Oryctolagus cuniculus: one gene and its partners. The protein of the gene in region 1 interacts with the protein of each later gene in a pairwise test. Links are inferred from orthologs where the notes say so. Each region holds a gene or a part of one and is shown on either strand. Other genes may lie near its edges.

Region 1 (3,642 bases):
TCATTATTCTCTTGGTACCAGAGGGATAAGTTCCCTGAAAGGAAGTAGAAATGGAAACACTTAGTAGCAGCAAACATATTTAACTCATACCAAATTTCTTTTTAACTCTTAAGATTCACTTGCATCAACAGAACTAGGAGCAGAAACACAGAGCCCCTAGCTCTGTAAGGTCTCTACCTCCTAGAAAGATATTGAATGCCCTCAAGGCCTCTATCCCTCCTGTACCTCTAACAGCAAGGTAAAGAGGCAGAGAGAAAGGGAAATGACCTTTCTGGAGCTCTGTATGGGCAGGGTGCTGGCCACTTGATGTTAAGTCCTCTCATTGAATCTGCATACAAATTATGAGATGTAACAATGATAATCTCCACTTAACTGACATGTTAAGTACATGGCTTCAGACAGGTTAAGAAACTTAAGCAACTTCAATTGGTAACCAGCAGGGCTAAAACTTGAACTCTGATCATATTCTGAAGATTGTTCTTCCTGTCTCCTCCTGGGTACGTAAACTCACCAGTGGGCACTCAAAGCATACTGGATACATAAATAAGACAGCCTTACTAGCTGGCCTAGCGTATCACAAAGATCCTTCCCATCTCTGGTGTATGGCTGAGTCACCTCTGGGGAGGAAGAGCTTCTGCAGCACGTAAGCCTCAACAAAGGACAAACGTGTGGGGAGGGGAAGCAAGAAAAGGAAGGAGGGGCGATGCAAGGAGCCCCATCCTGTCATCAGCAGCCCACCTGAACAGCATATAGGAAATAATCCCAACTGGGTATCTATGAAAGGAATGGACCGATTTACAGACAGTGCATCAAAAAGGAACTGGTATTAATTTTAACCACTTATCAAACAGTTACTATGTTCTAGGCTCCACTCTAAGCAAGTTACATGCATTCCTTCATTCAATTCTATTGTCCCCACATAACAAAGGAGAAAACTGGAATTTGGGAGTAGTCCAGCAACATACTCAAGCCTACACATCCAGTAAGTGCTGGCACTGTGACACCAGCTGTACCTATCCTGTTAACTACTTTGTTCCTCATAGGTCTGTTATGAAACTTGAATGTCTAGAACACTCTCCTTTGGGGTAGCCCAGAAAGGGAATGGTCTTGGAGTATAAGAATAGGGGGCAGTATTGTGGCATAGTGGGTTAAGCCGCTGCCTGCAGTGTTGGCATCCATATTGGTGCTGGTTCACATCCTGGCTGCTCCACTTTTTTTTTTTTTTTAAAGATTTATTTTATTTATTTGAAAGGTAGAGTTACAGACAATGAGAGGGAAAGACAGAGAGAAAGGTCTTCCCTCCGTTGGTTCACTCCCCAGATGGCCTCAACGGCTAGAGCTGCACCAGTCTGAAGCCAGGAGCCAGGAGCTTCTTCCTGGTCTCCTATGTGGGTGCAGCGGCCCAAGCATTTGGGCTATCTTCTATTGCTTTCCCAGGCCATAGCAGAGAGCTGGATTGGAAGAGGGGCAGCCAGTACTAGAACCAGTGCTTGTATGCAGGTGGAGGATTAACCCACTGCGCCATATACTGTGCCATGAAGCTGGCCCCAGCTGCTCCACTTCTGATCCAGCTCCCTGCTACTGTGCTTGGGCCCCTGAGCCCACATGGGAGACCCAGAAGCAGCTCCTGGTTCCCGGCTTTGGCCTGGTTCAGCCCTGGCCATTGCATCCGTTTGGGGGATGAACCAGCAGATGGAAGATCTCTGTCTCACTTTCTCTCTGTATAACTCTGCCTTTCAAATAAATAAATCTTTTTTTTTTTTTAAAGGTATGAGGATGGGGTTTCAAAAATCCTGCTCTGAAACAGTCATGAGCAAGCCTTCATTATGGTCGGGGAACCTGCAGAAGCAGCTTTTCATACTTAGGGGACATTGGAGGGTCCACAGCAGAGACTTCGAACAAATACTGAACTTCAATCTGAGCTCCAGTCCTCTCACCCACAGGATGACTTCAAGATTACTTGCTATGGTTGGCATGCTGATGTGATAATGCACATAGAGACGCTTCCTTGTAAACTCAGAAACTTTCACATAAGTGAAAGGAGCAGAGACAGAATCATGTTAATGAAGCTAAACTTACCATGGGATTTGAAAGCATATTTCCCAATGTACTTCCAATAAATAGAACTAATACTATATCTATTTAAGTCCATTCTTCCACCAAGTAGAAAAGGAGTAATGCTTTTGTGGGATAGGTTAAAAAAAAAAAACAAACCCTTCTGGCGTGAGATGACGTCCCGTCCACGTCCTGAGTACATACCTATGCTGGGCAGGAGTTCTGGATGGGGTCCCACCTTCTCCTCCACTAGGCCACCTGCAAGTGGCTCAGATGCTATGCCACCATGATTGCTTTTTGTGGTTGGTGCCGCAGAGATGAGCTCAGAGGGTACTAGAGTGGTTACTATCGAGCGTACGCTGGTAGGGAGAGCACCGCCAGGTAAGCTGGGTCCTGCTGAGGCAGAGCCTGGGCCCACAGGGCTGGAGGTCATTTTTAGCAGAGTGGGTGCTGGAGGCGTTGGGGTTTTACTGTCCAGCTCTGTAGATAACTGCTCTGTTCCCACGAGCCCCAGAGCTGGGGTCTCTAGCCCTTGGCCTTCAGTCTCTCCATCTGCAGCATATTGCTCTTCTCCTTTCTCGAGAGAGCCTGTAACTTTCTTACATGCCTTGGTCAGCAAAATCTGGCCAATTTTGTCCACTTTTCCTTTTCCCTTACTGGAGGAGACTGGGCTTCGCCGGTTGACAGAGGAGCCTGGGCTGTTGGTCAAAAGGGGAGAAACCATTGTGGTTGACTGTGAAGAGGACAGAGTGCTCTGATCTGCTGAGGTGCTCACCTGAGGACTGGCCTCGTCTGAATTCAATTCTTTCACTTGCTGGACAGGGGGATGAGGAGGGACAACTGGAGAAGATGTACAAGGGGGAGAAGGAAGCTGAACAGGAGTGGCTCGTGAGTTAAGGACCAGTGGTCGTCCTGTCTGTACATTTGGAGCAGGACTACTAGAGGGGGCATTAGGCGGTATAGGAGCAGAAGAAAACTTTATGTTCTGAGGTATGTGTAAAGGACCAACGACTGCAACGGAGGGAGGCATCAGACCAGAGTTGGTGGTCAGAGGGGCTGCAGGAATTGTGCTTGGCTGTGATCCTTTCATAACCTGAATTATTGAGGATGAATTGATAAAGACAGGTGTAATGAACTGAGGCCGGGCATTAGACTGAGCAGCTGACTGTCCCTCAGAAACCATAACCTTGCTACCCACATTGGGCATCGTGACGACCGTTGACATCAGAGCAGACTGCAAGTGAGTTGGCAGAGCTGCTGATGTGTTAGCTGAAGTTGTGATGGGATTGGAAGTGACAAACACAGTTATTTGATTTGGGGGCAAAGGAGCAGAAATGGAGGAAGAGCTGACAGGTCTTGACATTACTGGAGGGAGGCTTGGTGCAACATTAGAACTGACCTCACTCAATTCTGGATGCACAAGGGCTGAACACGGCTCATTGTTGTGAGGTAAGTTTAGGGAACTAGAGGGTTCTTTAGAAGATGACGGATCCTGTAGTGTGGGAACAACAGATGCTTTTTTGAGGTCCTCACCAGAAACTACTGGAGGTGTTACTTCCATATCTGTAAGCCCAGGGGGTTTAATGG
Region 2 (4,191 bases), on another chromosome or scaffold:
CGGTCCCTGTGTGGGTGCTACCCTGGACTCCCAGCCCCTGTGCGGGTGCTGCCCTGGACTCCCGGCTCCTGTGCGGGCGCAGCCCCAGGGCTCCCGGTCCCTGTGTGGGTGCTACCCTGGACTCCCAGCCCCTGTGCGGGTGCTGCCCTGGACTCCCGGCTCCTGTGCGGCGCTGCCCCGGGCTCCCGGGCCCTGTGCGGGTGCTGTCCCGGACTCCCAGCCCCTCTGCGGGTGCTGCCCCGGGCTCCCGGCCCCTCTGCGGGTGCTGCCCCGGGCTCCCGGGCCCTGCGCGGGCGCTGCCCCGGGCTCCCGGGCCCTGTGCGGGTGCTGCCCCGGACTCCCGGCCCCTGTGCGGCGCTGCCCGGGGCTCGGGCCTGGCACTGGCTGTTACCTCGATGGTGGACGCCTTCAGGAGCGCGATCTGGTCCTCGCGGCCCAGCTGCAGGAAGCCGGGCACCTGCTTGGCGAAGTCCACGATCTCCTGCACCGAGATGATGGCCAGCTCCGTGAAGTGGGCGAAGCGCTGCTGCCGGGCGTCGCGGGACTGGGGGTCCGCGCCCAGGGGCCAGGGCTGCGACACGGGAGACCGGTCACGCCAGGACCCCGGCGCTGACCCCGAGGCCAAGCCCGCGGCCTCCGCCTCCCGGCCCGGCCGCCCGAGGCTGGGCGGGCAGTACCGTGACTTTGGGCTGGTCAGAGAAGGAGCGCTTGTTGCACTGCAGCTGGGCGGCCACCAACTGCTGGATCATCAGCTCCTGGGCCGCTGTGAGCTGGACGCCCTCGCCTTCGCCGCAGCCCTGGCCGCTGGCTTCCGCACCCCCGGGGGACGCCCCCGGCGCGCCGGCCGAGCCGCTGCTGCCCCCCGGCTCCCCAGGCACCGGCTGCTGCTGCTGCTGCCTCCGAATCTTCTTCTTCCGGATCTGCTCCTCAGAGAGGACGCCTGGAACGGAGCCAGCGCTCAGCCGGCGGGGGCGTGGCCGGGCGGGGGCGTGGCCGGGCGGGGATGACCGGCTGGGCGGGTCGGGGTGTGGCCAGGTTCGGGGTAAGGCCAAGGCCGGCACAGTTGGGGATGGGGTAGCGCCCCGCCCCCACACTACTCCAGCATCCTGGCCTCCTTGAATTTGCAAGGGTTGGGGGCGTGGCCAGCGGGGCGTGGCCTGTCGGAGGCGGGGACAGGGCATGAGAGGGCCGGGGCCGACCGGGGATCGGGGCGTGGCCAGGGCGGTTGGGGTGTGGCCGGTCTGGGGAGGTGGCCAGGCCTTGGCCTGGTCGGGCCGAGCCCTCCCCACCCTGCACACTGCTCCCGCATCCCGGTGCCTCGCACTAGCGAAGGCCGGGGGATGTGGACGGGGCAGGGGCGTGACCGAGGGGGCGTGGGCGGGGCGGGGCGGGGCTTGGCCGACCCTCCCCACCCGCACTCACACTGCTCCCGCATCCCGGCCTCCTTGCATTTGCGCAGCCGGCACAGCTGGCACTTGCGCCGCATGAAGGCGTCCATCTGGCAGGCGCCGCCGCCGCGGCAGGCGTAGCGGCCGGCGCCGCCGTGGACCACGCTGCGCCGGAAGAAGCCCTTGCAGCCCTCGCAGCTGAGCACGTTGTAGTGGAAGCCCGAGGCCTTGTCCCCGCACACGCGGCACAGCTCGTGGCCCAGCATCTTCGGCGCCGGGCCCTTCTTCCGCTTGCGCTCCGGCTCCTCCTCCGGCTCCACGGCGACTGGGCGGGCGGGCGGGCGGACAAGGCGGTGAGGGGCCGCAAGGAGCGGGCGGCGCGTGCGCCCCAAAGAAGCGAGGCAGGGCCTCCCTCTGCCCTGCTGCCCACAGCCGTCCCGGGCCCCGTCTCACCCACGACGCAGGCTGAGCCGGCCTCATCGCTGCCTGGCACAGCAGGGTCCGCGGCCTCGGGCCAGGGCTCGGGACCCTCTTCCTTCACGGCGGGCGAGGGGGAGGAGGTGCCGGGCTGCGCGGGGCCATCTCCTGGGGGACGGGGAGACGCGGCGCGGTGAGCTCCTCCGGCCGTGCGGCTGCTCCGACCGGGGCTGGGCGAGGCACAGGGCCACTCACCAGGCGGGGCAGTGTCCAAGGAGGTCGTGGTGGGGGAGGACATGGTGGGGTCACGGAGCAGCCTGCACAACACAGGGGGGCAACGCAGGACTGGGTCAGGCCAGCTGCGGGTTCTGATGAGGGGGCCCCTTTATTCCAGCTCCCCCAGGCTCCGACTACTGCACAGGGACCCCAGCCCCAGCCGGCCGCCAGACGCTTCCCACCCATGCTCCAACTTGCAGTGTGGCCTTAAGTCCCGCCCCCTTTACAGGCCCCGCCCCAGGCCCCACCCACCTGCTCGCCCATCACTGTCCATTCTCCTTGGGGCTCACTCTGCCCGTCAGTCACAGCCCACCTGCTCTTAGCACACCTCCCCCCAACCCAACTCCGTCTCTCATTCTGATTTTTCTCAGGCCCCGCCCACCACAACACCTAGCCCCGCCCCCGCCCCTCCCGCAAGCCCCGCCCCATCACCTCGCTCCAGGTCCCGCCCCTCTCCGAGCACCAGTGGGGGGCGGGGCTCATGGCTGCGCGCGGGGACTTGTGGGCGGCCTCTCGCGTGGGGGGGTCTCCTCCCGTTGCCCTGGAAACAGCCGGGGGATGCGCAAGCTACGGAGGGGAGCGGAGGGAAGAGAGAAGGGGGTTCGTCGGAGCTGCTGGGGGCTCCTCCTGCGTCTCCCCACTCCCAGTGCTCCTGTCTCCGCCCCCTTACTCGGCTCCTCTTCCTCCGGGGCCGTAGCCCCTGACACGCCGCCGCCACCAGAGTCCCCTCAAAAGTAACTTCGCCACTTCTTCCGGCAACCCCGCCATGCGTCACTTCCGGAAGGGGTGGGGCGCGAAGGGTGACGGACTTCCGGTCCGCTGGGGGCCGGCCGAGTCGGCCGCCCCGCACGGAAGTGGTGCGCTCGCCGGAAGTGTGCGCCGCCGTGTGGCTCCGCTGGGGGGTGCGGAAGAAGAGTTCCGGGGAGTTGTGGGGGACCGCGGTCCGGCGTGGCGTGGCCGGCCCCGGACCGCGCGGTTGGCCTATCGCGCCCATCCTTGGTCCTGCGGCCGGAGAGCCGGGTCCGCAGACACCCCCAGCAGCGGCAGCGTCCCTCCCCGTGACTGGTGAAAACACGCAGTGCACGTTTGCGGAGTTTGTGGGCTGGCAGCTTCGGGGTTTTCAATGAGCTGAAATACGAACTTGGGCCGGGAAAACGTATGCGGCAAACCCTAACTTTGCTGCTGGAAGCGTTTGTAAAAGTCCAGGCTCTCCAGACCACAAGGGTCAAAGTAAAGTGTTGGCTGTGGCACGTTCCCCGCGGGGCGCGTGGACGGGGCGGGCTGGGCGCTCGGCGCCCGGATTCCGGCTGCGGACGAGCTCGGTGCTCTGCCCTGAGCCAGGCCGGCTCGCAGGGGAGCCCCTGCGTCTCCTCTGCCCGGGCTGTGCGGGCGAACCAGGCGTTTCCGAAAGCCTGGGGCTGGGGGGCCGTGGCTCCTCAGCCGGGGCGTGGCGGCTCGGGGAGATGCTGCCCGGCATCCCTGAGCCTTCGGGCCGCGCCGGCTCTGCCATCGGACCTCGCAGCAGGCCTCGTGGGCCACGCGCGATGGACGCTGACCGAGGTTCACACACGAGGCCCGACACACAGCCGAACTACATTCCCCAGCGGCCCACGCGGCCTGCTGGTCACGTGACGGGGTCCAGCCAATGGAAAGGGAGCAAAAGTACCAGGGGCTTGTAGGAGGCTGTGTGTGGAGCCTCAATCTGGTCCCAATCCGCCGTGTGCCGGAGGCCTTGTCTCGGCGAGCGCGGGCAGGGGCAGGCGGGGAGCCAGCCCTTGTTCTCCCGCGGCACCGGTCGGGGAGCTGCCCGCGGCCTCGGCGCCCGGCATGGCGGGACCCGTGGCGGGAACGCGGGTGCACACCGCCACCGTGCGGCCGCCTGCGGTTTTGCAGACAAGGCCTCCGAGAAATGACCCCTGGGTGCGGGGCGCGGGGCGACGCGACCTGGGCCCGAGCGAGTCGGGGTGGGGGGCGGCGGGGAGGGTCGTCGATCCTGCCCAGGGCAGGCTGTGCCGAAGGAGGCTCCGAGCCGACATTGGCGAGGGTCTGCTGTGTGGCAGGTGCTCTCCCAGGTGCTGAGGACCCGGGTAGCAATGAACTCAACTGGACC
Region 3 (3,642 bases), on another chromosome or scaffold:
TACACCGGGACCACGTTTCTGCACTTCATGCTGAGCAGGTGTTCCATGCCCTTGTCACTGCGGGGACACAAGGGCACTGAGCGTCAGCCCCCAGCAACAGCCGTGGGAGGGCCGACGTCCCCAGCTCTGCAGCGCAGGGCCAGGCCACCCCAGCCCGACCCCTCCCGCTTCCCCAGCCCACTGTTCCAGGCTCCGGTGTCCACCACTCGAGGGCGAGGACAACGCCCTGTCCACCTCTGTGTCCCACCGCCCACCCACCGTGGCCGGATACGGCTCCTGGAACACAGGATGACGGCGTCTCATTACTGAACACTGATTAGTGAGCACTGAACCCCTGCTCCTACGGGGTTTCTAGTCACATCTTCCTCAGCCAGTCGACACGTAACCTTCTGTTACGTGCGTTCCTGTTTAAAGACACCTTGCGTGGCATGTAATGTGGATAAAGTAACAGTGAACGCACGGCTAACGGCACCGTCACTCAAATCTGAACAAAGCTTCTCTACGGTGTGTTTCTCCGGGAGGCACATCACAGCCTCCATGCACCAGGAAACGGACGGTACTTCAGCATGGGGCTGGGGCACCATTTTAGACAACAAAAGCCATCCACAAAAATAGGAAAACACAGCACGAAACAGATCGTGTAGAGGACATTTCACGGCGTGAGTGCCCAAACAAAAGGGCAGAGGCCCTGCCCACGCGGCCTCTGCTGGGGATCTGTGTGTCAGCCTGCTCAGGACTGCTGCACGAGTGCGTTGTAGCAAGCAGGTGAACGCGCAAACGCGAGGGTAGGTCAAAGAGTCCATGGAAAAATGGAATAAAAAGTAAGTTAACTTTGGTTTGAAGAGGTTTGAGGGGCCAGCGCTGTGGCACAGTGGATTAAAGTCCCGGCCTGAAGTGCCGGTATCCTGTATGGGTGCCAGTTTGAGTCCCGGCTGCTCCACTTCCGATCCAGCTCTCTGCTGTGGCCTGGGAAAGCAGGCCCACATGGGAGACCCGGAAGAAGCTCCTGGCTTCAGACTGGCGCAGCTCCGGCCATTGCAGCCATCTGGGGAGTGAACCAGCAGAGGAAGACTTCTCTCTATCTCTCTGTCTCTACCTCTCCCTGTAACTCTGTCTTTCAAATAACTAAAATAAATATTTTTAAAATAAGTTTGAGGCTGGCGCCGCGGCTCACTAGGCTAATCCTCCGCCTTGCGGCGCCAGCACACCGGGTTCTAGTCCCGGTCGGGGCGCCGGATTCTGTCCCGGTTGCCCCTCTTCCAGGCCAGCTCTCTGCTGTGGCCAGGGAGTGCAGTGGAGGATGGCCCAAGTCCTTGGGCCCTGCACCCCATGGGAGACCAGGATAAGTACCTGGTTCCTGCCATCAGATCAGCGCAGTGTGCCGGCGGCAGCGCGCCAGCCGCGGCGGCCATTGGAGGGTGAACCAACGGCAAAGGAAGACCTTTCTCTCTGTCTCTCTCTCTCACTGTCCACTCTGCCTGTCAAAAAAATAAATAAATAAATAAATAAAATTTTTTTAAAAAAATAAGTTTGAAATGCAGGCTTTTTTCATAATTCACATTTCCTCCCTACACTGCGACGCACCCTCCCACGGGAGCTGCAAACACTAACAGTCGGCCAGCTCTGTGCTGCAAACGGTTGCAGGGGAGAGGCCTCCACACTTCCTCCCTCCGTGAGAATCCCTGAGGTGACCCTCCTCCCCACAAGGGCACCGAGCACCAGTGTCCCTGCTGCGTCCACGTTCACGTTTCCCGCCCTGGGATGTGCCAGTTCTCTCTTCTGCTCAGCCTTAAAGTCCCGATGCCACAGGAAGAAAGGAGGAACCCGGGGCAGGCCCGAGGCACCATGGGAAAACCAGACTTAGCCACTTTGTGGAAACGACCTCAGTGTCAGCCGTGGCTGGTGTGGGCAGGCCACGGGGCTGTGGCTCATTTTAGGGAAAGAACTACTCACCACAAGACTCCAGACAAGCTCTGAGCCCCAGCACCTAAACACACATGAGCCTGCAAGGCTGCATGGGACACGGATCCAACACCCACTCTGTGCTGCTCCCTGGTGACAGGCATGTGAATTGATGACCCACCCCTACCCCTTTTAAGGGTTTCACTGTCCTGAAAAGGTGACAACTCTACCTGACCCACCCCCCCAAACCTGCGCCCCTCCTCCAAGCAGGCCCCACCCCTCGTCCCCGGGGATGGCCCTGGGCCCGTACCTGGCATGCCTGACGTGGGAGAGGAGCATCAGGAGGTTGGCCAGGCGGACCGACTGCTGCTGGGCCGAGATGCCGCTCTTGGCGATCACCCAGACCAAAGCGTCGGTCACGGCGTTCAGCAGGTGAGTCAGCTTCCGGCTGCTCTCAGCCTCCTGGGCGGCCGCAGCCAGAGGGCACATACCTGGACAAAGAGTCACAGCCCCCAAGTCACCGCTGAGCAAAGCGAGTCCTGGGCTCGGCCGCTAAGCCACCTACGTTCTCCAGGAGGCCGTGCTGACGGGCACTGCTCTGCCAGCCACACGGGCACGCCCTCCGGAGCATAGCTTCCCTCTCCCGGGGGCTCCTCCCGAGCCAGCGCCAGCAGAAGGGAAGCCTGGCTGCACACACAGCCGACTAAATGACCTCCCAGAGTGCCCACCCGGCCCAACGGTGCCCTCGGCACAGCAGTGAATGTATCCAGGCACCTCCAATCAGCACGTGGGGTTTCTCGGCTGCAGCACATGCACGCACAGGGACCATCAGGACGGGAGGCTCCTCAGCTCGGGGGAGTTTAACACATGTAAGCTCAGGCCGCTGCTGCAAAGCCCCGCTGCCCAGCCCTCACGTGCCCCACATGCCCCACGCAGCCGCGCCGCCTCTGCCTGGGTCCTCGGCACGGTGCTGGGGCAGGGAGACCCCGGGGTTGGGGTCAGGCTCTGCACCCCTCTCCAGCCCTGTGAAGGGACCCGGCTCCTCGTAGAGCAAAGCTTACAGGTCCACCGCTGCTTGGGCACCGTAAGCAGCCGATCCTGCCAGCCCCGGCTCCAGGATCTGATCCTGTCGTCTTGCAGCCGACGCGACCTGATGCTGAATTCCTCTTTGAGCTTCCTGGACGGGGCGCTGCTGCGGAGGCTCAACTTCCTGCTCGGGACGCGGTCCTGGCTCCGCACTCCCTTCCCGTCTCGTGTACTGATACACATTCCTCCCTTCGATCCCAGCCTCACCATGAACTTCCTTCTAGAAGCTTCCCGACCTCCCTACCACCACAGCGTAAGGAGGGCTTGAGTGCTCCCCACATCGGCAGCAGCGCAGAGGCGCCACACTGCCCCACAGCCCTCAGCCACCACCCAGCCGCCTCTCACTGGCAGCAGCGCTGGACAGAAAGTGCTCTGAGGACACAGGCTCTGCCTGTTTGTCATTTCATTCCCATCAGCAACCACGACGCCCAGGGTGCAGCAAGTCCTTACCTACTGGAGGGAGCAGCCTGAATCTGCACGCATTCAAGTCTGTTCTCAGGTGATCATAACTCAAAGGGTGAATGTGATGTTAATGTGCACGTCAGCACTCTGCACACAGGGAGTCACGAATGGAAAATGCAGGGAAATTACCTGAAGCTTTCTCTAAATCCGACCCAGCTATTATTATATAATAATATAATATAATAGTATTAT

What was found.
Region 2: the proteins of NCOA6 (region 1) and NR1H2 interact in a two-hybrid assay, tested with the Homo sapiens proteins (2 studies listed by BioGRID). The link is inferred for Oryctolagus cuniculus from reciprocal best matches to the Homo sapiens genes NCOA6 and NR1H2.
Region 3: the proteins of NCOA6 (region 1) and ESR2 interact in a two-hybrid assay, tested with the Homo sapiens proteins (3 studies listed by BioGRID). The link is inferred for Oryctolagus cuniculus from reciprocal best matches to the Homo sapiens genes NCOA6 and ESR2.

Annotation. Positions count from the first base shown.
Region 1 is NC_091442.1:23,361,780-23,365,421, reverse strand, and holds part of NCOA6 (nuclear receptor coactivator 6), read right to left. Parts: coding exon 2,260-3,642; intron 1-2,259. UniProt on the Homo sapiens protein: Nuclear receptor coactivator that directly binds nuclear receptors and stimulates the transcriptional activities in a hormone-dependent fashion. Coactivates expression in an agonist- and AF2-dependent manner.
Region 2 is NC_091449.1:7,476,797-7,480,987, forward strand, and holds the start of NR1H2 (oxysterols receptor LXR-beta), read right to left. Parts: upstream 2,907-4,191; 5' UTR 2,752-2,906; intron 2,649-2,751; 5' UTR 2,514-2,648; intron 2,123-2,513; 5' UTR 2,104-2,122; coding exon 2,061-2,103; intron 1,974-2,060; coding exon 1,842-1,973; intron 1,714-1,841; coding exon 1,423-1,713; intron 941-1,422; coding exon 678-940; intron 572-677; coding exon 392-571; intron 1-391. UniProt on the Homo sapiens protein: Nuclear receptor that exhibits a ligand-dependent transcriptional activation activity. Binds preferentially to double-stranded oligonucleotide direct repeats having the consensus half-site sequence 5'-AGGTCA-3' and 4-nt spacing (DR-4).
Region 3 is NC_091451.1:6,217,544-6,221,185, reverse strand, and holds part of ESR2 (estrogen receptor beta), read right to left. Parts: intron 2,394-3,642; coding exon 2,213-2,393; intron 58-2,212; coding exon 1-57.